7 linked regions of the Rattus norvegicus genome follow. The protein of the gene in region 4 interacts with the protein of the main gene of each other region in a pairwise test. Links are inferred from orthologs where the notes say so. Each region holds a gene or a part of one and is shown on either strand. Other genes may lie near its edges. The genes, in order: Bnip3l, Adgrg7, Bnip3, Ldlrad1, Pln, Mall and Vti1b.

Evidence for each region.
Region 1: the proteins of Ldlrad1 (region 4) and Bnip3l interact in binary tests that used the Homo sapiens proteins (3 or more experiments, as listed by UniProt). The two-hybrid records come from large-scale screens. The link is inferred for Rattus norvegicus from reciprocal best matches to the Homo sapiens genes LDLRAD1 and BNIP3L.
Region 2: the proteins of Ldlrad1 (region 4) and Adgrg7 interact in binary tests that used the Homo sapiens proteins (3 or more experiments, as listed by UniProt). The two-hybrid records come from large-scale screens. The link is inferred for Rattus norvegicus from reciprocal best matches to the Homo sapiens genes LDLRAD1 and ADGRG7.
Region 3: the proteins of Ldlrad1 (region 4) and Bnip3 interact in binary tests that used the Homo sapiens proteins (3 or more experiments, as listed by UniProt). The two-hybrid records come from large-scale screens. The link is inferred for Rattus norvegicus from reciprocal best matches to the Homo sapiens genes LDLRAD1 and BNIP3.
Region 5: the proteins of Ldlrad1 (region 4) and Pln interact in binary tests that used the Homo sapiens proteins (3 or more experiments, as listed by UniProt). The link is inferred for Rattus norvegicus from reciprocal best matches to the Homo sapiens genes LDLRAD1 and PLN.
Region 6: the proteins of Ldlrad1 (region 4) and Mall interact in binary tests that used the Homo sapiens proteins (3 or more experiments, as listed by UniProt). The two-hybrid records come from large-scale screens. The link is inferred for Rattus norvegicus from reciprocal best matches to the Homo sapiens genes LDLRAD1 and MALL.
Region 7: the proteins of Ldlrad1 (region 4) and Vti1b interact in binary tests that used the Homo sapiens proteins (3 or more experiments, as listed by UniProt). The two-hybrid records come from large-scale screens. The link is inferred for Rattus norvegicus from reciprocal best matches to the Homo sapiens genes LDLRAD1 and VTI1B.

The regions. Positions count from the first base shown.
Region 1 is NC_086033.1:45,363,214-45,366,713, reverse strand, and holds part of Bnip3l (BCL2/adenovirus E1B 19 kDa protein-interacting protein 3-like), read left to right. Parts: exon of another isoform or gene 1-1,049; coding exon of another isoform or gene 1,050-1,108; intron 1,109-1,697; coding exon of another isoform or gene 1,698-1,822; coding exon 1,823-2,006; intron 2,007-3,500.
Region 2 is NC_086029.1:57,281,457-57,285,703, forward strand, and holds the start of Adgrg7 (adhesion G-protein coupled receptor G7), read left to right. Parts: upstream 1-1,447; 5' UTR 1,448-1,674; coding exon 1,675-1,789; intron 1,790-4,247. UniProt on the Homo sapiens protein: Orphan receptor.
Region 3 is NC_086019.1:203,144,963-203,148,462, reverse strand, and holds part of Bnip3 (BCL2/adenovirus E1B 19 kDa protein-interacting protein 3), read left to right. Parts: intron 1-2,207; coding exon 2,208-2,355; intron 2,356-2,943; coding exon 2,944-3,025; intron 3,026-3,500. UniProt on the Homo sapiens protein: Apoptosis-inducing protein that can overcome BCL2 suppression. May play a role in repartitioning calcium between the two major intracellular calcium stores in association with BCL2.
Region 4 is NC_086023.1:127,226,392-127,229,891, forward strand, and holds the end of Ldlrad1 (low-density lipoprotein receptor class A domain-containing protein 1), read left to right. Parts: intron 1-843; coding exon 844-972; coding exon of another isoform or gene 973-989; intron 990-2,175; coding exon 2,176-2,324; 3' UTR 2,325-3,362; downstream 3,363-3,500.
Region 5 is NC_086038.1:33,178,994-33,182,493, forward strand, and holds the end of Pln (cardiac phospholamban), read left to right. Parts: intron 1-1,066; 5' UTR 1,067-1,174; coding exon 1,175-1,333; 3' UTR 1,334-3,248; downstream 3,249-3,500. UniProt on the Homo sapiens protein: Reversibly inhibits the activity of ATP2A2/SERCA2 in cardiac sarcoplasmic reticulum by decreasing the apparent affinity of the ATPase for Ca(2+).
Region 6 is NC_086021.1:135,401,267-135,405,446, forward strand, and holds the start of Mall (MAL-like protein), read right to left. Parts: upstream 2,801-4,180; 5' UTR 2,771-2,800; coding exon 2,660-2,770; intron 1-2,659.
Region 7 is NC_086024.1:103,706,688-103,710,779, reverse strand, and holds the start of Vti1b (vesicle transport through interaction with t-SNAREs homolog 1B), read left to right. Parts: upstream 1-1,292; 5' UTR 1,293-1,615; coding exon 1,616-1,730; intron 1,731-2,255; exon of another isoform or gene 2,256-2,338; intron 2,339-4,092. UniProt on the Homo sapiens protein: V-SNARE that mediates vesicle transport pathways through interactions with t-SNAREs on the target membrane. These interactions are proposed to mediate aspects of the specificity of vesicle trafficking and to promote fusion of the lipid bilayers.

The sequences.
Region 1 (3,500 bases), on a different chromosome or scaffold from region 4:
GAAGCAGTGGGAGTAGGGGGGAAATTGTTTATTCTCTCTGTCCCTCCCTCTAGAATATTTTACAGAGATCTAAATTTAGATGTGCTCTGCACGTTTGTAGCCAGCTAAAGATCTCTCTTAACGATACTGGCGTTACGTGCTCATCCTTCCGGGTTCTGTCCATGCCCATCCTCATGTAGGTGTAGAATGAGGCCAGGTGCTGTTTGCCTGTGTTGTTTGGAATTAATTGGTGACTTCAAGACTGCTGGCAAGGGGCAGAGGGAGGAGGCGCTGCCTTTGATGGAGAGACAGCTAACCCTTTAGTAACAGATACAAACTCCTTGGTATGTCAGTAAGTGTTGGCCTGCAGTTTATGTTATGTGGTTGGTTCTGGCAGCTCTGGGAAGTAGGTCCCTCTGTCACAGCTCTGTATTCTGATGACACTGAGTGAGGATAGGAGGGGTTAAAGGCTGGAGTGCCATTCCAGCCAGAAGAGCTGTTGCCTCCCTCTAGGCCTGGTGTCATTGACTCATTTGGGTGTATTTTAGGGTTTGAGGTAGTCTTTGATGATTCTGACTGATCTGCTAAGGATTTAGAGAGAGTTGGCCCTGCTGACCTGCTAGGTTACATTTTGGAGGTTGTTAGTTTGGTTTAGGGGGAAATTTTATTTGTTTTTTCATTTCCTTTTGAGTTAGAGCTTTATTCTGTAGCCTCGGCCAGCCTTGGCCTCACTCTTGATCATCATACTGCCTCAGACTCCAGAGTACACGTGTGAACATTGTACCTGGCTGCTGGTCATATTTCCTAAAGCAAAGGATTGTACTGAGGGAATGTAGAGCATGTCTTTTTTGTCAAGTTGACTAATTGGCTACTGTTGCAATTCCTATTAAAATTTTAAGAACCTTAATCATTTAACTTACTGGGCCAATAAGAACTTTCAAAACGTTCAGATTATAAAGGCCCATCCCATTTTCCTTTGGTCCCACCCCCTTCAACTATTTGTCCCAATTTTTTTTCTGCTTGTAACCCATCTACAGTGGCTTCTCCCTCCTCCGTACCCTCAGGACTTAATGAAAACTCTAGAAAGTAGAGGTCCTGGGAGAAAAAAAGGAAGGAACAACTTGACAAGGTATGTTCGGTGTAGAAGAGAAAGACTTGAAGCGAGTAGCAAAGGAGAGAGATGCACATCTGTGGAATGGAGCCAGTGCTCCCCACCCGCCAAGTTTTAATCTTACCTAGCTTCATTAAGGACCAGCTGCATTACTGCATGCTCCGGCTTTGGGAGCTATTTGGGGGCTTTGTGATTACATTCAGGTTTCCACTCCATGAGCCTTTTCAGTTTGTGTTAGTAGACAGTTGTTGTATTGTTAAGATGAACCGGGCGATGTCACTAAGTCATACGTTGACTTAATTTAGTGCACATTCCTAAAGAGCTGAGGAATTCTGTAGCGGACATGGCAAGTGCCTTTGTGTGTAAGTGAAATGTTAAAGGTAACATCCTGTCTAGTAAAGAAAGAGGCATGTAAGTTTTGAAGAATGGCCTGAGTTTTCACCAAAACCAATTTGGATACAAATTAAGCTTTAACAAAAAAGAAAAGCGGACGGAGAACACATGGTCGTAGTTTCAGATTTCTACCTTCTGAGTGCTTTGGTGCATGAGTCCCTGTGGGGCATAACAGCATGGACTTCTTGACTTCCTTCATATTTATTTTCTTCAGAAGACTTTGGCTTCTGTTTGAGGCGAGTCAGAATTCTTATCTGAACCCAGCATATGGACATCTGTGGCACAGGAGGGATTTTGGCCCTGCCGTGGTTCTGACTTATTATCTGAGCCGTCCAACAGGTTCCTGGGTGGAGCTACCCATGAACAGCAGCAATGGCAACGGTAATGGAAATGGGAAGAATGGGGGCCTGGAGCACGTTCCTTCCTCGTCTTCCATCCACAATGGAGACATGGAGAAGATCCTTCTGGATGCGCAGCATGAGTCGGGACAGAGCAGCTCAAGAGGCAGTTCTCACTGTGACAGGTAAGTAAAGCTCTGGGTGCTAAGTTGGCAGTTGAGTGGCTGTCAAGTTAACTCTGTAAGGGGCAAGCTTATTGGCCTAAATATTCGTTAGTAGAATAGGCCTCCAGACTTATTGTAGCATACATGTTTAAACTAGACAGCTAGGCCAGGCATGATTGTGCACACCGCTAATCTCAGTACTTGGAGTTAGAGGCAGTGAGTTCGAGGTCAGCTTGATCTACTACATCTTGAGTTCCAGGCCAGTCAGGGCTGTGTGGTGAGGTCTGGTCTCAAGAAAATTAAATTAATAACTGAATAGCTGCTGGATAGGCACCTGAGTTGCCCACCCCCATTGTCATTTTTATTCTCAGATTAAATTAATTTTAGATGTTTATCAGTTTGAAATTGAGTAACAGGTCAGCAAGGTGGTTAAGCACTCGATGTCAAGCTTGGTTGACTTGTGTTTCATCTTCAGTCCCACATGGTAGAAGGCGAGAACTGACTTCCTCAAGTTGTCCTCTGGCTTCCACATACACAGCCACACATGTATCTACACACACAAACTAAATGCAATTTTAAGATGAAAGTTGAATTTAGTGTCATTAATGTAATCTCAGAGTTCATCTGAGTTTATCCCATTTTCCTGTTTTTTGGGCCCATATTATGACTCACAGTAACAAATCTCTGTCCCTTTCTAGGCAGCAGAAGCAGGGAGAGCCATGTGGCCTTCTTTCACCCTTCATAGTAAAAGGTTGGCACACATGAGACACGTAATAAATGCTCAGCTACAGGTCTGCAAGTTGACGGAGGTTACAGCCGTGTCTGTGGCTCTGTGACTCTCAGTAAGCAGTGTGTTCTCAGAGGACGTGTCACTCAATTCTTACATCGCTGTGTGCTTCTTTGCCTCTGAAACCCTGAGTCCATGTATTATTTTTATGCTGAGGACTAAAAATACAGAAAGCTGTAGGAAAGGAAAACAAGTGATTAATTTTCAGTTTGAGCTTTTTTTTTTCCTTTCCCTTCCTGAGAAACTAGGTATTAAATAATACTAACAATTCTAAGCTCATATAGTTAAGTCATACCTATAGTCTCATCATTCGAGAGGCTGAGCAGACATATTTCTACAAGATGAAGGCCTGCCTGACTACATAACCATACGTAGTAATAACCATCCCCAGAAATAGGGAGAACTTGTTAGTGTAGTCCCTGGCACAATGTTAGCCTTACAGGCTTCTCAGTGCTGGTTCATTTGCAGCTGGCTGATTATTCACCATGTTGAAGATGCACATACACAAGAAGAAGATTGAGGGATGTCTAGAAAGCAGCAGGCTAGGTAGGACTAGAGGAAGAGATTGTGCATGTTTGTCTTAGCTGTTATGTGTTTCATCTATAGTACATGGTTAATTTTTGTCTGAGAAAAAGAGAAAGCAGTTAAATCATACCTGACCTTCCTGTATGCCTTATGACCCAGTTCTCTCTCCAAGGCAGCTGGAAGACAGGTTGGTTGGTTATTTG
Region 2 (4,247 bases), on a different chromosome or scaffold from region 4:
GAAGCTCTAGAATGAGGAAAAATTGGGACTTTATGTTAATATTCCCCCCAGAGTTGTACTTTACGAAGTATTATTAAAACTTGGGGAACAATACATAATTTTGAGGGGCAAACAAACGATCAGTTTAGATGTAAAATTTATTTTATAAATCTATGTTTAATACTCCCAGAAGAGTATTCTGTTGCAACACATTTTTGTTATCTTTAACATTGTGGTCTGTTTTATCAGGAGTTACACCCTGGTTTCTCACCCTGGAACATTGTAAGTGCTTGAGGGCTCATTCCTGCCTGTGACAGTCTCAAGACAAAGAAGGCACTTTATCATCCTGGGTCTAAATGAACAGAGGAACCACCCACTGACTCATCCACCAGAACCAGAACTTCAGTCACGTGAGTACTCATTAGCACCTTCATTTGAGACTAGGGAGGAGGAGGGAAGAGTAAAGCAGGATCCCCAGAGTCACGGCTGCATAGGAGAGATAGCAGTTTGTGAAAGTTTTAAGGGAGGATTTCTTTCCTAGGATTGCTGTGACAAAGTACTACAAGCTATGTGGCTTAAATAACAGGAATGTATTGCCCTCATGTTGTGGTGACCCCCAACCATAAAATTATTTTTGTTGCTACTTCATAACTGTAATTTCACAATTGTTATGAGTTGTACTGTACATAGCTGATATGCAGGCTATCTGATATGTGACCCCTGTGAAAGTTGAGACCCACAAGTTGAGAATTACTGTTTTAAAGCAAGATGTCATGGTAGTCGGTTCCTAGGACTTTGAAGGAAGGTAGTACTCCAAGCCTTTCTCTGTAGCCTTTCTTTGCAATTGGTTGTATTATCCCTTTGATTCCTCAGACATTGTCCCTCTGTGCACATTGGGGCCCAAATGTTCTCTTATAAAGACAGCAACCATGTTGGAATAAGGCCCACACTATTAACTTCATTTAAACTCAATTATATTTCAAACTTATCTTCAATCAAGGTTGCATCGTGGGTGCTTTGGGTTAAGACTTCAACTCGTGAATGTGGAGACATCATTTAATTCATAATAGATGAGTTTAATTCTGTTTTAGTGCTTTTATAATCCTCCCCAAGTCCATATACTCATTCATCAGTTGCAGCTGTTAGAACGTAGGCCCCTTAAGGAAATTCAAGAGTGGAATCCTATGTGGCTATTGCAGTTTATCATATCAAGGCCAACAATGACACCTTATCCAAGAGGGTGTTTGACTCTCCTGAAGCACTTGCTCTTAAAGCCAAAGTACAGCAGACTGATCTGTAGATAACCAGAGGGATTCATTGCCTTCCTGGCTTCCTCTTTGGGTTCTGGTAACTTGCCTCTTTCCTGGACTGTATATCTTGTCCAGATAGTCACCCTTTGACCCTCAAGGCTAATCCCGCCCCCTTTTTATTGCCTTAAGTTAGTTTCCTTTCTGAGAATCCCCACCTGTTGATCTCCTCAGTGAAGAATGAGCATACTGCGTACCTTTTATTCTGTGACTCCAACTACATTATTGTGAATTAACTTCAAAACTCTTAAAACATGAGAACACCTGCCAGACAGACCACTGAAGGGAAGAATTCTTTTCATGTTTTATAACCATCTCTGGTTACATTTCTTGACTTAAGGAGAAGCCAGCTGTTTTGCACATAGTGGTGCAGTGTTTTGGCTTCACCATGCGTTCCTGCCGATCCTTCGATGTCCGGGTCCTGGTGACTATTGTGTGTGGTTTGCTGACGGGCATTGTTTTGGGACTGGGCATCTGGAGGATGGTCGTAAGGATCAACAGAGGTAATGTCACCCTGCTATAATCTACTGAGACACAGAGTGGGTGTTGGGGTGGTGGTGGCACTGAACCTCTGACTCTGCTACCTGATATTTCAGTGCCAGGGAAGTGCCCTGTCCACACAATGGCTGCCTTCCACAATACCACTTAAGAAGTGTAAGAGGGCAGTTGGTTGATGGCCAGTGCACAGCTTTATTAAAAAAAAAAACAAAAAAATGAGACTCTCTCTCTCTCTCTCTCTCTCTCTCTCTCTTCTTGTCTCTGTGTGTGTGTGTCTGTGTGTGTGTGTGTGTGTGTGCGAGTCTGTCTCTCTGTCTCTCTCTCTCTGTGTATATGTGTGTGTGTCTGTGTGTCTGTGTGTCTGTGTGTGTGTCTGTGTGTCTGTGTGTGTGTCTGTGTGTCTGTGTGTGTGTCTGTGTGTATGTGAATAAGCAGGGTGTTGGAATTGGCTTCTATGTGCTATTTTAATTCCTGAGTTGATAGAATGAATAACAATAGAAAGTATAACGATGTATATTTGGGTTTACTGAGCTAAATCCTATAAAGGTAAATAGCTGTGAACTCAGACTCCCAAAAAACTATGTACAGAATAGAAATTCATCTCAAGAAGGAAGCTTAGTGATGTTAGCACTAGAGTCATGCATGAAAAGAACTTAGGTTGATGTACAAGTTTCCCATTTCGCAGGTGTAGAAAATGAGTTAAAGTTGAAAAAATTAAATTAAGTTTAAAGGTTACTTTCCTGCTGGTTCAGTATGTGCTTGAAACGTTTCCTGCTGTGTTCCAGACCTCATGGGGAAAATAGGGACAGAAGCATAACCTGTAAAATGACAGTGTTAAAATAAAGCCCTTGAGAACTCAAAAATACATTTTTAATCATTCTAACACTGCATTCCTTGGCCTCTGGAGGTCCACTATAAAGCGCCGGTTCTCAACCTGTGTGTTATGACCCTTTTGGGTACCTTCACAGGGGTCACCTAAGACCATCTAAAAATATTACAATTCCCAACAATAACAGCATTACAGCTATGAAATAGCAATGAAATAATTTATGGTTTGGAGATCAACACTGCATGAGGAACTGAATTAAAGGGTTGCAGTGTTAAAAATGTTGAGAACCACTGCTATAGATTCAGAGCTGAGGTTTAGAACAGGTAAAACTGAGTGACTAGAGGTAACTAATGCCAGTAAGGAGAATCAGTCTTTCCTCAAGGAAGATGCAATGGTGCCAGGCTGCAGAATCCCATGCTGAGGACGAATGTTTGATACTGGCTGGTGCTGAAGAGGTAGTGTGGAATGCAGCCATCCCTACATAACATAAACAGAATAGAATCCAGAGGATACTGTGTTGGCAGCATTTAGAGAACTTGAGTAAGAAATTAAACAGGACAAAAGAAGAAAACTAAAAAGTTAGCGTTTGTAAAATACTTTCATTCAGGTTTAAGGAAAACCATAAAGAGTCTCTCTCGCTGTTACATGGATTAAATGTGTAAGATCTCGCTTACAGGATTTATGTTTGGGAAATGTCTTCCTTCTTGTCGCATTCCCAATGGCCTGTGTTTTCAAAGGGCAACTTGTGACCTAGAAATGGCACCATTAAATCGAACCGTTGAGAGGACAAAGTACAAAAGCAACATGAGGCACAATACTAAACAGAGGCCTGTAAGTGCAAGTTAGTCAAAGGCGTAGGGGAAACTGCTTAAGCCTGGGCACACCTCCGAGTTGTTGAGGGCCTTTAAAGGAAGTAAAGGGAGTAAAGGGTAGTAAACGTTCTGCTTCTCAGGGCAGTAACATGCCAGCCCCTCAGAAAGACTAGCTTTGCCCTTGGTGTTAGTTTGTCAGTTGTCTCTTTATATAAGGGATATCCCTCCCTTGTGGGGATAGAATTGGGGGAAAGGCAACAGAAAATTCGAGGATTGTCACAATCATTAACAAATAGGAAGAATGAAGACTTAGGCTGCTGCTGTGTGTGCTCCTTGTACATTGCATTTGGAGTGTTTGCTTTTGTTTAGTTGTTTGTATTTGTTTAATTCAGTTCCAGTCCACTTCCCTTTTTTTTTCCTTTAACTTCTTCTAGGAATTCCATCTCTTTTCCTTCCACCTCCCTTCATTCTACTAATGTCATTAATAATAATAATTATTATTATTATTTAATAATTATTAATTATTGTTATTAATTGAGTATTTTCTCTTTAGTTCCTTACTTAGTTATAAGTTATCCTTAAATTAACATTTTTCTTAGAGTCAGAGTTCATGCATATCTCAGAGAAACTGATGTATCTGTTAAAGCCTTTTTTTGTTTGTTTTTTGAGAGCTTATTTTATAGTTTGGATTGTCCTCGGACTCACAATTTGTATCCCAGATGACATCACACTCATTGTATCATGAGCAAGACACCTTCTGCACCAGCATTCCACGTGTGGGGTTATGGACATGATCCCACACTCATGGCTAACTATAAATGT
Region 3 (3,500 bases), on a different chromosome or scaffold from region 4:
ACTGCCCTGGTTGATTTTGGAAAATTGGTAGTGTAGGAGAATCTCTACATTTGGCATCAGGACTGGGTACCGGGAAGAAGACAACTTGATCTCAAACTGTTAGGCACTAGAAAAGATATGGGTAGCATTAAGCTCCATCACATAAATTGGGACAGGCTCAGATCTGAATACAAGATTGGCCTAGACAAAGGGAACTGGCCATAATGATTGCAGCTGGTCTTGAACTCACAGCAACATTCTTGTCTTAGTGACTCGGAACTGCAGGGATTCTACGTGTGAGCCACTATCCCTGGCTTCTGGGTGTCATCAGACAGAAGGGAGGAGGTCCAGCAAAAGACATTAGGCTGGAACTGGAGTGAGTATAGGATTTCCAGATCCCAGAAGGCACTGGGGCCTGTGTACAGCAGCAGAGGGGCTCTGGGCTCTGCCCTTCTGAGTTGGTGATGTGCTTCATGTGGGCTAGGCCTGCTTCTCTATGAGGCAATCTGAGAGGCTAATGAGGGAAATCATCCTTATTTCAAAGTTTGTTGTATAATCATGTTAGTTTACTGAGAGGCTGTTGGTGGCATGAACTATAAATCCAAACTTATTTCTGGTTAGCTCAAAAACATTTTCTATAGGCAAATGTGAGTCAAAATAGACAGAATCTTGGGCCCAAAATGAGGCCCATACACATTTCTTACGCTGCCAAAGAAAGCACCAGGGTCCAGAGAGATGGGAGGGGCTTGCTGCCAAGCCTGAAGTCAAACCCAAATGATGGGAAGAGAGAACCCAGGTATTGCAAGTTGTCCTGACTTCGTATGCATACTGTGTGTGCACAGGTGCCACACAAACAATGGCTAAGTAGAAAGCAAGGAAGCAGCAGCATGGGGTGGGCAGCAGAGGCAGTCTTCAGTAAAGGATGCCCCTGTTCCAGGACATAGCATTCATCAAATTGGATCCAGGAGAGTGAAAGACTAGTATGAGGGTTGACACACTGTGTAGTAGCACAAACTCAAGTTGGAATTACATGCAGTCTGCATGGCTCTTTGTAGCACAAACTGACATAAAGCTTGGCAGTCCTCCTGCCTCAGCCTCCTAAATAACTGGGATTATGGGTGTGTGCTACCATGTCTTGCTGAACACACATTTATACACACAAACATTTGGCAGTAATGGGGATTGAACCTAGACTACAGCCTTACGATTTTATAAGGCAAGCACACTTCCATTGAGCTCCCCCCAGCCCTCGCTTTAACTATTTTATTTATTTAATGTATGTGAGTACATTGTAGCTGTCTTGAGATACACCAGAATCTGTTACAGATAGTTGAGCCACCATGTGGTTGCTGGGATTTGAACTCAGGACCTCTGAAAGAACAGTCAGTGCTCTTAACCGCTGAGCCATCTCTCCAGCCCAGCATGAGCCCTTAAATATTGTAATAGATGCATTCAGCAGATCAAACTGAAAGCAAGCCACAGATGTAACAGTACAAAGAGTTCATTTATTTTTGTGGTGTTGGAGAACCAAAGTCTACCCTGAGACTTCATTTTTAATGTGTGTCAATGCTGTGCTTCTATAGTGTAAATATTTGTGTGAGTACTTGAAAGGTAGATCCCTTCAGAGAGTGAGATATAACCAGAAATGAACTATTCTGTTTTCAAAACTTGCTAATCTGATTTCTGGTATAAATGCAGAGCAGTAATCAGACTTGTGGATTTTACAGAGTCCTAGGGCCCCGTGATCCTGAATGTAGAAACAGCTTGAGTTTAAGTCTTTAGCTAGGCACATTAGCCCATGACTGTACGCCTAGCGCCTAGAAGGCTGAGGCCTCTAGTTTTATGCCAGCTTAAATAAGATCCTCATCTTGGCCTGTGGTAAATCCACAGGTATGTAGAATACCTACATGGAATAAAAGAATGGCAAGAGATAACAGTGCAGTGTTTCAGCCTCAGGGTCCTTGCCTACTGGACCTAAAAGAGGCCAGCAGACCAGAAATGCAGATATCTGAAGTGGCATTAAAGTAGGGCCTAGAGTGATCTTTGGTATTTCCTGGGAATGTGAGTGGGTAGGTCTGTCTATCTGTCTATATCTTTGTTTATTCATTGATTGATTTGGACAAGTATTCATTGTGTGGTCCTAGCTAGCCTTGAACTCAGAGTACTGGGATTAGTCGTCAAGCCCCATGAGGGGGCAGATTTCTAACTGCCCATTTTGTCCTCTTCAGGCTCCTGGGTAGAACTGCACTTCAGCAATGGGAATGGGAGCAGCGTTCCAGCTTCCGTCTCTATTTATAATGGTGACATGGAAAAAATACTGCTGGATGCGCAGCATGAATCTGGACGAAGCAGCTCCAAGAGCTCTCACTGTGACAGGTAGGTGTTCTGGGTATCCCTTACAGTGTTGATGTCCTAGTAGATGGATAATCACAACCGCATGTTTTTGTGGGTGGGTTCCAGGTCTGAGGCCACATTTGGGAGTAACTCCTGAGGTAGTCATTAAGCAAGGAACTCTGGAGTCTGCTGGGAGGAAGTGATTTGGAGCTCAGTCTGGAGGGACTCTATTAAACCTAGAGATAGATAAAATTGTTCACTGTGAGCACCAAGTCTGAGCAGTTTTGTTCATGCCCCCAGCTGGCTTCTGTTCCTAGGCAGCGTCACTAGGGAGTGAATCCAAGGTGTGTGGCTGAAGTCAGTGATCAAAGGTCAGATGCTTCCGAGGGCTAAGTCACAGATCATGCGGGAGGGTGGGGCTTCTCTATGGAACTGTCTAGTGGGCTCCTGTGTGCTCAGCTCAAAAGACTAAGGAATTGTTTGGCACTGGTCTGGTGAGGGGCAAAAGGGAAGAGACATACTTTGGAGGCTCCTCTGCCACCCCTTAATGAGGTAAGACCCCTGCTTGGAACTTATGCATCTTATGACACAATTGACACGCTGCTCCGTTTTGTCTGTTTCTTAATCAAGCCCACCTCGCTCCCAGACACCACAAGATACCAACAGAGCTGAAATAGACACCCACAGCTTTGGTGAGAAAAACAGCACTCTGGTAAGCCATAGATAGGAAGTGGCTATAAGGTTCAGTGCATCATCAGTCTGGTGACTCCTGCATTTGCAGCATATGAGAGTCTTTACTCTTAGTTTTTGAGGAAGGGTGTCTCATTCAACATGGAGCTCACCAGTTGGATAGTTCAATTGGCTGGTGAGGTCCAGTGATCCTTCTATCCCTGCTTTCCAAGCCTGGGACTACAGACATGATCCATGGTGTCCCCTGGCATTTTATAAGAGTGTTGGATCTGCATTTTATTGTTTATTGTTATGTTTATGTTTATGTGTGTGTTTGAGAGAATGCCATATGTATGGAGGCATTTTAGAGCCCATGTTTTGGTTTTTATTTAGATAGGGAATCCCTATTCACCCCGTCTAGCCGGGAACTTGCTATATATTACCAGGCTGGTCTTGAACTTACAGAAAGCCACCTGCTTCTGCCCCGAGTGCTATGATTAAAGGTGTGCACCACCTTC
Region 4 (3,500 bases):
TCCCCATAACCACATTAACTCCCCTTGCAGCTCTGTGGACTATCCCTAGGTACCACCTCCATGTCCTCATGCCCATGGTACCTCAGCCCAGACCTTCTGCTACAAGGGTAGGGAACACTGCACCTCAAATCCGTGAGAGCTGGACTCTAAAGAACCCTTTAACCCAAATCCAAGAGTTGCTGTGTGCATGGCAATCCCAGCACTTGGAAGGTGGGTGCAGATGATCAGGGGTTCGAGGTCATTCATTTCAAGTTTCAGGCCAGCCTCCTTAAATGAGACCCTGCCTCAACAACAAAAAGTGTCACCAGGTCCATACTCTAGCTCCTATCCTATGAGCTACTCCAGAAAGCCAAGAGAGACTGCCCAGCCTCTGCTTAAGTGTTTCTAGGATGGCGAGCTCACTACCTGAGGCTGGCCTGGGTTTGTGTGAATCTGGGTCACCCTGTCCACTCCCTGACGTAGATGCTACTTTGGAATTCTGGGGCCCTTGTGTAAGAAATCTGGTTTTACCTGCTATGTTCTGATGAGCAGAGGCTTCTTGTGGGGGACTTGACCCTAGATTGAAGGTAGCAGGCTAGCAGAGGGGGGACTTACGCATGAGTATGCACACAATGCTGAGTGTGGGGACATACAAGGGGTGCTCTCAGGGACCCTTGTAATCCCACAAATGTATAGAGTAAGAACACTCCACTCTTTGGAACCAACCTCCTTCCTGGAAGACCTCCTATGCCCTTTCCAGAATGAATGGGGAGACCCTGTAGTATGACAGGTGATTCAGCTGCAGGTGGCCAAGATACTGAGGTCAGAGGTGAATTTTGTCCTGCCCCATTTGTCTCTCTATAGGAGATTTGCCCAAGAGCCTCCCCAGCTTCCTCCTGACCACCTGTGGAAACCCAGACTCCTGGATCTACTCAGACCAGAAATGTGATGGCACCAACAACTGTGGGGACTGCTCAGATGAGCTGAGCCCAGGTGGGGGCTGGGCACAGGTGGGCAGTGGCCAAGGGCATGGGCTGAGCGGGAATCCCCATGGTCCCCTACATGTCCCTGAATCCTGGGAAGAACATTTCCACTGTGGAGTAAACGACGTCCTTAGACATCCTCACACTCTTCCCCAGCACTGGGGAGATGCTCGGTGAGGCACTGCTGCACAGCATGAGAGGCCAAACCCCTCCCCGTGGTAAAGAGAGAGAACCGACCACGGGTTCCTAACTTCCACATGCTGTGCGTGCACCACGTCAGGGAGGTAGGGTCTAAAGATGCAGCTCAGCTGGTAGTGTGTCTGCCTAGTGTGCACAAGGCCTGGGTTGGTTCTCAGCACTGCAGAAATGAGGTATGGTGGTACATTTCTATAACCCCAGCACTCTGAGAGTAGAGGCAGAGGAGTCAAAACTTCAAGGTCATCTTTGGCTCCATAGTTGAAGGCCAGCCTGGGACTGTCTCAAAAGACGAAAGGTAAAGGACCATCAAGGAAGACACTGTAGACCTTATGCCTCCACACAAGTGCCCATATACGTGTCCATACCTTCACATGTGTACATGTCTGTATGGCATGCATGCACGCACATTCTATGCCTGGTGTTAAATTAACAAACATGTTCTGGGCACTGCTGAGGTGACCTGTACCAGATTCTGGAAGGGAGAGTCAGGAGTCAGACCCATCCCCAGGACTACACCATGCTGGTGCCAAGAGGAAACACCCGGACATTGTAGAATCTACCAGACACCTTAGAAAAGACATCACAGAACAGGACATAGAGAACAGAGGCCAACAGTCGGGGCTGGTGTGTAAAGAGGAATGGGGGATCCACGGATACAGGACAGAGGGTAGAAAAGGGAGGCACCCCCAGAGCATCCAAGGGATCGCTGTATCAGGAGTGAGAGCTGAGCAGAAAGGTAAACTGGGTGGTGCAGCGTCTCCGCATCCATTGATCCCCGAGCGCTGTCTTGTTTCCTTTACCCAACAGTTGAGCAGATGGGTGCTGAGGCTTAGCCGGGCGAGCAGGTCACACAGCCTGTGTATGAGTTGTGCAGCTGCAATTCTCTCTGCTGCTGCTGCAGGGGAGCCCACACAGTCACCCCACACTAGGGGTACAGGAGCTATGCGTGTTGCAGATCTTGCCTGGAGAGCCCAGGATCGACGGCTGTTTATCCCGCTGGCTCTTGTCTCCACAGTGACTGCGTGCCCACCCTGTGGCCCTGGGTGGTGGTATTGCACTCCAACTGTGTTCAGGTACTGCAGCTGTGTCCCGAGGGTCCTGTGCCGGGACGGAGTGCAGCACTGCTCTGACTGGTCCGATGAGTACTCCTGTCCTGGACCCTGAGTGAGCCTCATGGTCTGGGTCAGCATGGAAGCTGGCACCCGGAACCTTAGACCGGAGCACCGAAGCCTACACCACAAGGGCAGGAAGAAACCTTTGTCATCCACCAGTGGCACCTAGCCCCCATGGTCTCTGAACAGGAATTCAAGTGTCTCAGCCTCCACCTGAGCACTTCCAATGACACGGAGCTCACCACCATGTTAGGCAGATTCTAACAAAGATGAGGCGGCCTCCTCCATCACTTTAGGCCTGTCAATGAGACCACAGGAGAAATGCTCCTTGACTCCAGGGCAGACTTGAAGTCCCAATCTTGTCATTCCTGGAAGAGACAAATGTGTGGCTTAAATACCAAGTGAGTTTAGCCCTGTGGGTAGAAAACAAAGCACACACATTTACCACCATTCGGTGCCTAAGGCAGGAACTCAAGGCCCCTGGAGCTTCTTGCCCAACTCACCAGCAGCCCCGACTGATCACATGAGGTTGCACATGGCACTTGGGACCTGGAATCTTTCTAGTTTCCCAGTATCCTAGAGGCTTGTGGCTGTGGAGTAGAAGACCCAGAGACAGTGCAGCTTAGAAGAACCCCTCTATGCCTTTAGTCTTAGCCTCTGCCTTGCTTCACCCCACAATTGCCTGCAGGTTTATATTTTGGTCCTGCAGCCAGGACCTATATACCTTGCATATCTTCTAGCTTTACAACACCCACCCAGGCAAGGATGGGTGTGCTCATTAGACAGATGAGGAAACAGAGGCCTAGGGGATGACTTGCCCAGGGTATACTCTGGAACTGGGACTCAAAGTCAGTCTGCAGAACTCTGACCTCAGGGTCTTCCCCACTATTAATGGGGAAGAGAGATGGGCTAGAGAGATGGCTCAGCAGTTAAGAGCCATGGCTGCTCTTCCAGAGGTCCTGAGTTCAATACCCAGCAACCACATGGTGGCTCACAACCATCTGTAATAGGATCTGATGCCCTCTTTGGGTATGTCTGAAGACAGCTACAGTGTGCTTATATAAATAAAAAAATAAATATTTAAAAAAAAGAATAGAGTCATACCTTGGTGGGGGTTGGGGTGTGTGGGGAGGGTGATGAATATTAAAGAGGTAGCTTAAGGGACCAAAAGTATCTTGTCCTTATCCTTAAAGACAGACTTGGGATCTGGCTATGGAGGCCCCTGTTA
Region 5 (3,500 bases), on a different chromosome or scaffold from region 4:
CTCAATAAATCAGACCTTGTTGTCTCTAGACAGTAAATAACTGCACTTTATTTTATATTCTTGTTTTAAAACTGATTGTAAACAGTATTCTTAAAAAAAAAAAAAAAAAAAAAAAAAAGTACCAGCCCTGGGAACTCCTTCACTCAGTCAGCAAAGGCAGAAAGGAGGCCTCCAGTTTGAGGCCAGTCTGTTCTGTGTAGAAAGTTTTAGGCTAGTCAGGATTACCTAGCAACACCCTGTGTCCAAACAAATAAATAAATAAAATGTTAGTGATAAACAATAATAATCTCGAAGTCAAAGCAGCCGCTGCCTCTAGACAGCTCACTGGTTTATTTTAAACCTGTACTAATTTTCTGTTAATAAGCTTTATTTGGTCAGCAGTGGTTTAAGAGCTTGGGGAGGGGGGGACACAACCCCACCCCTGGCCATCAGGATTAGCTGAAAACTGGAACTGTCTGGGATAGTTCAGAATCATAGCCCTTACTGTGCCTCCTCCCGAGCTTGGCGGTCTTCAGCACTTGACCACCTTGTTGTTTAGAGTAGCACTAACCAGGAGGCTGTACCTGGGAGGAGTCAGGAGGATATGTATACGATTAAATGCACTGTGTGATTCCACAAAAGCATAAACCATAAAGGAAAATGGCAAGCCGCTAGAACCTGTTTACTTCATATTTAACTTTTCACTTAACCATTTTATTTCAAACTAAAACTAAGATCCAAGATATAAGTTACTATATGCATCTTGTTATGATTAGTTCCGAAACATTTATAATAATAAATGTTCATACCAATTGTGTTTACAGAGAAACAGTTTTAAAAAAAAACAAACAAACAAACAAGGAAACCGTCCCAAAGAAGCATTCCATGAATCAAGTAATAGGTGCCAAACCTCCAGCCCCTCCGCTCACCCAGGACGAGTGCTAACATATGAGAGGAGCAGAGAGGCTGGGGCTGTAGACAGTGATAAAATACAGCACTGAGGAACATGAACCGGTACAAAACTGCATATCTATCCAGAGAATGGGTTTAGTATGAACCTAATCCTTTTACTATTTTTACATTCCAGGCCTCCTAAAAGGAGACAGCTCGCGTTTGGCTGCCTGCTGTCAACTTTTTATCTTTCTCTTGACTACTTAAAAAAGACTTGTCTTCCTACTTTTGTCTTCCTGGCATCATGGAAAAAGTCCAATACCTTACTCGCTCGGCTATCAGGAGAGCCTCGACTATTGAAATGCCCCAGCAAGCGCGTCAGAACCTCCAGAACCTCTTTATCAATTTCTGTCTCATCTTGATATGTCTGCTGCTGATCTGCATCATTGTGATGCTTCTGTGACAAGCTGTCGCCACCGCAGACCTGCACCATGCCAACGCAGCTTACAACCTGGCCCTCCACCACGAGGGAGGCAGTGCCGCCGCCTTCCTGCTGGACATCGTCGTGAAGGTCACGATTAAGAGTGAGACTGATGGCAGCCAGTGTGATCATCGGCTGGATCTTGTAAACTTTACCACGACTAAGTGTGCACAATGTAGCTGCCCGTTTCCTCAGTGTGGCTCATAAATGTCTTTCCTAAATACTTCTGACATTGTAGTATGAGTTTTAATTTTGAAACAGCACTACAAAAAAAGTTCACTTTCTATATCCAGCACTAGAAAGTTCAACTTATAGCTTCAGTTTGGGGAATAAATGAAATTTAAACTGCGTTGCCACCACTTTTTTTTTATAGGAACTAAATATTCTTCAGGTCTGCACAAAGTAGAAAATAATAATTTAAATGAAGTGTTCTTATTCAAAATAGCTCACTGGGTCCTCATATAGACGACGATGACGATGACCATGACGATGACAATGATTCAGAAGTCATGGTCATTACTGTCAGAACACATACCTTGAAAAAAGGTTGTGCCCTTTTTCTAAACACTAATTATTTTTAAGCTTATGAGAGTCAAATAGGGAAATGTAAAAGCATATTCTCATATAAAAATCTTCACTAATTTTTCCACTAATTGTGGAATTCAAGCACATTTACATTAACCACAAATGTGCTCTCTCTAGGGTTTGACCAGCAAGCAAGAACATCTTACTGTGTGGTTGCGATAATCACTAAAACATCAGAACCTCACCCGAAGGTTGGCTTGGCACAGATCTCCTGGGTTGTGCCGGGCTTCTCCAGATAATAAATGATAACAACAAACCAGACAGCTGTGCTGGGGTACAGCTCTCTTCCTGCATCCCCCAGAGAGGAGAGGCTTGCTCTCCTAACTTAAAAACTAGAGATTCTATTTTACAATCCTTACTAATCACGGTTTCAATTTCCCTTTCTAAATTCCTAATATCTCTCAATAAATACTAAAAGATTAGGAGCTAAAAACTGTATTGGAAAACATTCACCAAAATTTAGTTAACTTAAGTTATCCAATACAAAACAGTTCACACCTCTCCTGTGCACTCCCACAGTTCACACCTCTCCTGTGCACTCCCACAGTGTTAAGTCCAGCTCAAGGCATTCTACCAACACAGCAGCTATTAGGAGAGTTATAATTAGATATATTTTCCATAATGATTACTACGAAGATACGGCGCATCAGTATTCACCTTGGTCCCTAACAGAGCAGCTGAAGGCATGCTGATTCGAACTGTTTGAATCCCTGATAGAAAGGAAGATGTCTGGTTTCAGAAATTATCCAAAGAGTAGCCCACAAAGGAGTCCCACGTTAATAGGCGTCTCTTCAGAAAAGGCTGGGGGTGAGGGTGCCCATCACAGAAACTATAAAACATGGATGACATAATCTCTAAATCAATGTTCCCTTTGTGATGCTATGACCCTTTCATATAGTTCCTCATGTTGTGGTGAAACCCAACAATAAAATTATTTTTGTTGCTATTCCATAACTGTAATTTTGCCTCCACTATGAATTGCGAATATTTGTGTAGACAAAGGTTTGCGTGAGGGGTTGCAACGCACAGGTTGAGAAGCACTGGTGAATGGTCTGCGGAATTATGTACAAGTGCATAAGTTCGTAGTTGCCATGCTGAGAGGAAAAGGAAGGTGAAAAGCGCCTGGCCCTTTACATTCTCACTACCACACCAACTGTCAACTCATAAGTTCTTCTCATCAAACATTTAATGTTTAATGCCTTTTACATTTCAGTAGTTAAATGTTTATCTATAAAATGCAATAAGAATGGCCTATATTCAGATGGGATTATGATTTTGGTGCAATTGCTATACAATTAAATGCTATTACTATAAAATGTTGTCATTATAAAGAGTTTTGTGTTGTAAAGGGCAGAGTGGGGGGCACTTTCCCCAAATAAAGTAGAAATCAAGATTTCCTAAGACAAACATGAGAGGGTGGACGTACATACAACAGTACTGCTTAGCCTCTGGTTATTTTGAATCTTCTGGCAAAGCAGGAAAGCAATCAGTCACATTAGAAGATCTGGTTATATGCTATACCAGGTTTTTAATATCTTGAAAGTACATGATAATCCATATAGAC
Region 6 (4,180 bases), on a different chromosome or scaffold from region 4:
GCTTTCTAATGTGTTCTATATAGACTTTTGTCTCACACCAGAAGACTTAGGGATCAGGGGTGCCTGGAGGCTTGGTGCTTTCACACTGCCCCAGTAGACAGCAGAGCGAGAATACATCAGATCACTAGAGCCAAAAGAAGGGCTTTGGACAAACTCATCCCGCACACATAACATCTTCCCAGCTTCTTCTGCCCATGACATCAAAATCTTTTCCCCCACCTTCTCATTTCCTTCCCCATCCTCCAAACAGGCACACATCATTCTGGAGTCCTTCTAGGCATGCTCAGAGCAGGTACAAGCAGCATGTGCAGAATTATGTACTCAACACAAGCACACACTCAGATACAGACATACACACTCACACTCACATACTCACACATACATGCACACACATACACTCATACATTGCACACACACTCAGATACAGACACGCACTCATACACATACACACATAAATACATGCACACACACATATACACACACTCACGCATACATGCACACATATACACACACTCATACACACTCAAATACAGACATGCACTCACACACATACACACATATTCATGCACACACTCACACATACAGACACTCACACATATGCACACATATACACATTCACACACACTCAGACACACACTCACACAGACTCACACACCCCTTCACATACACACACATACACATGCACACATGCACACATATACACACTCACATATGTGCACTCACATACACTCAGATTCAGACACACTCACAGACTCACACACCCCTTCACACACACACATACACACAGCACACTCACATATGTGCACTCACACACACTCAGATTCAGACACACACTCACACACACAGATTGAAATATCCCTTCACATGCACACACACGTACACACAGAGATCGTGCATGTGCTCCATCTGTGAACACATTTCTGTGTTTTCTAAGTTTTCATCAATGAATGAAGATGGATTGCAAATTAAAGCGACAGGGACAGTGAGCGAGCGTAGAAGTCTAACTACGACCAGGGTCCGCAATAGCCGACCGACCGTGCTTTCTCTAGAAGACGGAGACGAAGGCGGAGGAACCTCCCGGGATTAAGGGGAAGGACAGCCAAGCACAATCAGGAGCTTTGACCTGGATCCTGGGCTGGGGGGAGGATATTAGTGGGGAAATGAGCAAGTAGGACAACAATGGTCAATGGCGGAGTGCTCGTGTTAACTTCCTGGCTTGGAGAGACCTGGGGGTTCAGAGTGAGGAACAGACTTCCTGTGCGGCCACTATGGCTTTAGGAGAAATCTAAAACTATTTAAAAGTAAGTCAAGAAAATCAAATCAATGACAATGACCTCATCCCCTCGAAGTCCCAGGACACCAGGAAAGTACTTTTCCAGGAATCCAACTGCAGGAGGAGAGGTGGGGACACCTGTCAGCGCCTCTAGTGACAGTTCTCTACCTGACTGCTTTCCTGCCTCCGGCATCCAGTGTTCTTCCAGTGGCAACTCCCAGTGACAGGACTGGACCCTCACTCATCTGGCTGGGACACCATGCTGCATTCTAACTGCTCAGAAAATGCTCCCAAGCCTCTCTCTGTCCACAGAGACCCCTGGCAGGTAGCCACTCCGCTGACCATGATTTTCGTGACTGACAAGCATTCTCTCAATAGAATTCAGCAGAGCCATCCTGCCATCCATGTGGCTGTTCCAAAGTGAGGCCCACACCCAGGGCCTGGCACACAGAGCTCAGGACGTGATCAGCCTGGCAGGATGCCCACATTTGTGGGGGGTTGGCGCTGGAAGAAACCTGCCTCTTAGGTGGAGTTTCTATCAAGGCCACCTACCTGTGGAACCCATAAGCCTGACTTCCCTTTCTTGATCGACAAGAATGGCTGTTGGTTAAGCAATTTGCCTAAAGGTCACTCAAGGGGACCTAACCTTCCACGGAAGACCAGGAGAAGGGAAAGGGTTGGTCACACCCATTTTATGTAAGCAGTCCTACTCCAAGTCTCCCTCCCAATCCAGAGGCAGCATGGTCAAATTCAGGGCTAAGAAGAAAATTTCACCCACAAACTAGATATTACGGGAGGCTTGGCGGGGAGTGGGGGAGGTGGATGAGAGCAGGAACCAGCCGAGGGACCTGTTTTGTTTTCTACTGAATGCACTGCTCAGTGCAGGCATGGACTAGCGCCCAGTTCTGCTGTGTGGTGTCCCAGAGTCGGGCAGCAACAAGTTTTCCAGAGTAACCTGGGCGGTTCAGATTGTTTTATGGATGATGCTGTCAGGAGCTCCCTCTGGCAGGGAGTACACATAAATCAAAGTTCAAAGTCAGCTGATGTGATTTGAGAAAATGCTGGGAGACCTTCTTTCAGAAGGCCCTTAGAGAGTCCCCTAGTTCTTTGAACTTTAGGAAACAGCAAGGGGGAAAGAAACCAGGTAATAGAATTTTCTTAGGGGTCTGGGTAGTCTAGAAGGTGGCTGGACTCCTCCAGCAAGCGAGTGGCCTGGGGATGGCTCTTCAAGCTTTGGGAAAGAGGAAAATTCGCTCTATTGGAACCTAGTCTGGGACACGGGAAAAGCAGGAGCCTGTAGCTAGCTGCCTTTCCCCATCCCAGTTACAGAGAGGTTCCCGGTGGTTCCGCCCCTCCCTCCCCGCAGGTGGGGGCAGCCACACTCACCAGCTCCGGTAGGAAGAAGGCATAGGGGATGGTGAGGAACAAGGCGGCGACCCCCGAGGGCACTTCAGGCGGGGCGTAGCTGGTGGCCGGCGGTGTGTCCCGGGAGGCCATGCTGTCACCTATGCTGGCGTCCTTACTCCGCGGCACTCGCCCGCGCCCGCAGCTGTGCAAGAATCACCTCCCGCCCGCCAGACACACCCATCGGCCAGAGGGACGTCGTCGCCTGGGAGGGGAAAAGAAAGGTTCCAGTGGATCAGGTCCTTCTGTGTACTGTGGCTAGGCAAGAGAGGGGACAGACCAGCCTTGCAGAGGCTCTTTCTATCTAGACCTCCCTGCTAAGGAACTTTTGAATGCTGGAGCAAATGACTCCAGATGATATGAGTGACAGTGTGTGAATGGAACAGCTTTGTATGCCCCTGATGATCTCTGTGCTCAGAGTGTAAGCAAGGGCTCTTTTTGCTAAGATAAAGACCATTTTATTGAGGATCTACTGTATGGTTAGCCACCTACACACACATCTGGAGCTCAGACAGACCACCACGTGTCTATGTTGTACCTTTCCAAGAAAGGAGACTAGAAAGAGGTGCAGTTAGGATCACAGAGCGGTCACAGCAGCATCCGCCTTGTCCTCAAATTCTAATGGAAGGATTGGAGCAGCCTGGTTTCCACCTCCCCTCCTCAGGGACTCTGAATTCCTCTTGGTTCCTCCTCTTGATGTCTTCTTAGTCAGTTAGGACACAGGATTGGAGCCAGGCAGTTCCTTCCTGAGTAGAGCCTGGGGCTGGCTGCACACACACACACACACACACACACACACACACACACACACACACACACACACACACGTCAGGTCTGGAGACTGGGTCACTTTCTTCTTTACCAACCCACTAACCTTCATTTTTTTTCCACCACCCTGAGGAAAAAGTCTGGCGCCCCAGAGTCGTCTTCCTTCCCTCTTTGGCTCCAGAAGGCTAGTTGGAAAGCCTCCTCAGGAGGAGAGGAGGCATGGAAGAGTTGCCCCAAGGACTGGGGGATGTCCTGCACAAGAGCCCTGTGTCTTGTTTCTTAGCAACAGCAGGGAACTCCTGGGCAAGCTTGGAGAAGTAGCCTGTTAGCCCCACCTGGTCTGGAGCGGCCAGCAGAGTTTGGATACACGAAGCAAAGCTTAAAGCCAAGGCATTGCAGGGAAAAGCAAAGGTCTCCTCAGCAAGCTTCGAGCCAGCCTCAATCTTTTCCAAGTTCTAGAGCTTATAGTTCATATGCTTCAGTCCCCACGCTGCTGGCATCCGAAGCCATCCACCTTTTGTGAATGCCATACATAAGCATTATGCATTCTTTGGGGCTCTGACCCCCTTTGACGTGACCGTAATCTACATGGGGCATCAGGAACAGCAGAGTAAGAAGTACACACAGGTTCCAAGGATTCGACTCCGGTCATCAGGCTTGAGGGACAGTCAATGCCTCTACCTGACAAGCCATCTCACTGGCCTGGAAAGCATGAATTCTGAGTAGACTGTGAGG
Region 7 (4,092 bases), on a different chromosome or scaffold from region 4:
AACTCCAGCTCCAGAAGATCCGACGCCCTCTTCTGGGCTCCACAGGCAGAGCACTTGGCCCTGTTAATTTTATATTTTGCTTTTGAGGTAGGGTTTCTCTGTGTGGCCCTGGCTGTCCTGAAAGTGCTTTGTAGACCAGGCTGGCCTTGAACTCAGTGATCCATCTGCCTCTCTCTGCCTTCCAAGTGCTGGGATTAAAATCAAGCAACACCACTCTTGGCCTATCTTTGAATTTTATGAGAAAAATATAAGAGTTTGCACCACTGCTAACAACATCAGACTTTATCTTTGCACAATGCATTTTACAATTTTTTTCATTGAATTTAATGGTCAATGGATTCAAGCTTGTAAACCTAGGGCCTCAAAGACAAAAATCACCAGTAACCCACTTTACCATATACCTTGGAAGATGGATTACAGGATTTGCTTATGTTAGATAAGTGTACCCTCAGCTACATCCTCAGCCATATGTGTGTGTGTGTGTGTGTGTGTGTGTGTGTGTGTGTGTGTGTATTTCCATGTATAAATACTGAGCTCCCACGCAAACTTTTGAGAGTAGGCTCTTTGTGTAAACCCTGCCAACAGTATACATAGGAATTTATACCTATGAAAGAACAGAGAAGACTTCATAATTGTTAATATGTTTTATGTAAGGGCAGATAAGACATGCTAAGACGGGGCTGGGGATTTAGCTCAGTGGTAGAGCGCTTACCTAGGAAGCGCAAGGCCCTGAGTTCCGTCCCCAGCTCCGGAAAAAAAAAAGAACCAAAAAAAAAAAGAGAGAGAGAGAGAGACATGGTAAGACGGGTCTGTTTTCCACACCAAATCATACATTACTCAAGGGCAAAGGCAAAGATATTTTGATCAATATTTAACTTATCAAAATGGCTATTCTTAACCTGTTGTGAATGAGAACCCGGCGCAGCCTAATGGACTGGACTGGCTCAGCCCCTAAAAGCTTTGTGTATTCTGGGAGCACAGTGCTCATTTTCCTGTTCTGAAAGCATGTGACCCTGGCCACTTAATCTCCCCAGTTATAGAGCTTTACCATCCGAGAAGAGCAGGGCAAGCCTCTGCTCTTCTATCTATCTAGGGCTGAGACTGAACTGAAGTCAGGTGGCAGAATGAAGTGCAATGACAGCTAGGCACTTGTGCTATCCAGTCGCTGCGCAACAGGGCTGGCACTCCAGGCCCTCCCTGCACAGCCGCCCTTCCTCACTTAACTACAACCCCCAGCATGCACTGCAGGACCGGCGGGCCCGAATGAGGCGTCCGAGGCGCCCGTCCCGCGGGCTCCCTTGGGCTCTTCGCTTTGGTACCTCCCCTGTGCCCACTGCCTGTCTCCAGGTTGGAGACAGCAGCTCGCCTTGGCGCCAGGCCGCGCCCCTATAGTAGCCGGGTGTCGTCCTCGCCTGGCTTTCTGTCAGGCTTTGGCGCTCGCACAGTGACAACAGGGGGGAGGGCGTCCGGCTCGGAGGACCCCGGAAACGCCTGATTCCGGGAGGCCGAGGTGCGGCAGCGGTGATGGCTTTGGGGCCGGGTAGCTGATTCCTGAGGTGGGAGTGGGCCCAGCGCCCGGAGTCTCAGTGGCCGCAGCTCACGAGCAACCTGCACTATGGCCACTTCCGCCGCCTCCTCCGAGCATTTCGAGAAGCTGCACGAGATCTTCCGCGGCCTCCTTGAAGATCTACAAGGGGTGCCGGAGCGGCTGCTGGGAACCGCGGGGACCGGTGAGGCGGGGGCGGGACCAGACCGGTAGAACTCCGCAGGGTGCGGGATCCCAAACGCAATCCCGGGCTCCCGGCTTCCAACTCGGGCACGCCCCCTGCTGCTGTCCAGCCCCGGGCGCCCAGGATCTGCAGCCTCTTGTGACTGGGGGCGTGCAATGGGATCGACATTAGGATGTCGTCTCCTAGCGAGCCTCCCACGTCCTAGCCCCCAAATTCTTAGTTCTCCTCCTCTCCCAGCAGCATAGGGCGTTCTTAAATCTACGGTCCTGTGTTTCGTTAAGACGACTTTTTTATATATAAAAAAAAAAGAAACTTAGTTTGGGGTTGGGGATGTAGGAATTTGGTTGGTAGGCAATGAAAATTTAAAAATAGTTGTAAAGCTTATAGGTAAGACAGTGGTGGGAGGTGAGGGGAGTAAAACAGCCACTTAAAGAGGAACCTGAATGTCTCACATTAAGATTTTTGACGTAATAGGGTAAATCAGTAAGGAACATAAGCAGCTGAGTAATGTGGATTTCATTTTAGAAGCAAGGCGGCGGATAGCTGGATAGAGGATGTGAGAATGGCTATAAGAGACTGTGTTAGGAGCTTCCGTGACAGTTGACTAGGTAAGCATGGGAATCTGGAGAGTGAGCATTAAATCTAACAGGTGGTTCCGAGGCAGAGATTTATGAGATTGGTGGATATGAGTAGGAAGAAAGATTGAAGAGGGTCCGTGTTTTCTCACGTGATCAGTTGAGTGAATGAACTTAAATAAGAGGCGCAAACTCGTTTGAGCTGTAGATGAGAATGTCTACCTGTAGATTAGAGATAACAGTGTGTTCTGTACCAAGCATGACAAAATATTTTTCTGCCATTAAAAACATTATGAAGAATTTATTAATCTAGTAAATACAGTAAAAATTAAGAGATTAACAGTAGTGAACACTTTTAATCTCAGCACTTGGGAGGTACAAATAGGAGAATCTCTGTGAGATCAAGGCCAGCCTGGTGTACACAGCAACACAGAGATTTCCAGACCAGCTAGATTTTACATCTTGAGACTCTATTTAAAAAGAGAGAGATTCTAGAGCCAGAAGTTATATATACCTTTTATTAGTTATGTGATCTTGCAAGTTATTTTAACCAAACTAGTTTCTACTATAAAGTAAAACATAGCATCTAACTGAATGGGGTTTTTGAGTAAATGAGATATGTAAAGCTCTTTAAAATTACTGTCTGACAATAGTAAGAGCTACCAGCTATTATTAATATGTTTGCTATTTTATTTAGAAATATTAGCTCTCTATACAGTTATTCTTAGGATGCCCATTTCATTTGTTTGTTTTTGCTTTTTGGGTTTGTGTTTGTTTTCCAAGACAAGGTTTCTCTTGTGTATACCAGGCTGGCCTCAAACTCAGAGATCCTCCTGCCTCTGCCTCCCAAGTGAGAGCCAGTAAACTGGAAATGAAATAGTATTTTTGCTTGCTTGTTTAGCATATGACCTAAACTCCCAGGAACAGTACCCAGCACATCCTAGGTATCTGATAAATATTTGCTAGATATGTCTGGGGTGGTGGTGCATGCCTTTAGTCCTAGCACTTGGGAGGCAGAGGCAGGAAATCTCAGTGAGTTCAAGGCCAGCCTAGAGTATACAGTGAGACTCTGTTTCAAAAAAAAAAAAAATACTACATATTGTATTTGTTAAATTACTGTAAAAACCATTTTTGGTTGTTAAAGGTACTATGAGTTCTTAGAAGAAAATAGCTGGGTATCGAAGCAGAATAATTTATTTCTCTCCCTTTTATTCACATTCATTACTCTTCAAATTGATGTGTACACTGGTTAAAACACCCAAAGTGAAAGAGAGACTTATTTCCTCAAGGTATAGTCTGTATTCTCGTGGCCCTGGAGGGATCGCTGCCACAGTGTGTCCTAATCTAGGAGGTTTGTGGCAGTAACAGTCTTACCATGTATGGAAATCATTAGACTTTTATAGTCTTCATCACCTACATCTGGTATCTCTTATCTTGACATTGCATCTTCTGAAGAGATTTCTCAAAAGCCTCAGAAGTGATAGAATTTTGTCATCTGATTAATATGTTAAGTGCTTATGGTTATTGTTTTAAGTTTTGGTTTTGTGGTACCTGTAGACATGTGTCCTTATAATAAGGTTATTGACAGTTTTCCATTTTAGTTTGCGTGAAGTCCAGTATGGATGCCTGAGACCTCAGTTTTGTTGTTGTTGTTGTGTGTGTGTGTGTAGCTTAGAGGAGGTCATCTTATGCTTTCTTGTTCCACTGCATGGCTCCTAGGTCATCAGTCTGCGGCAGTTTACCTGGTAAGTCAGCCAGCCAGCCCTGAGACGCTGTGTTTTTAGAGC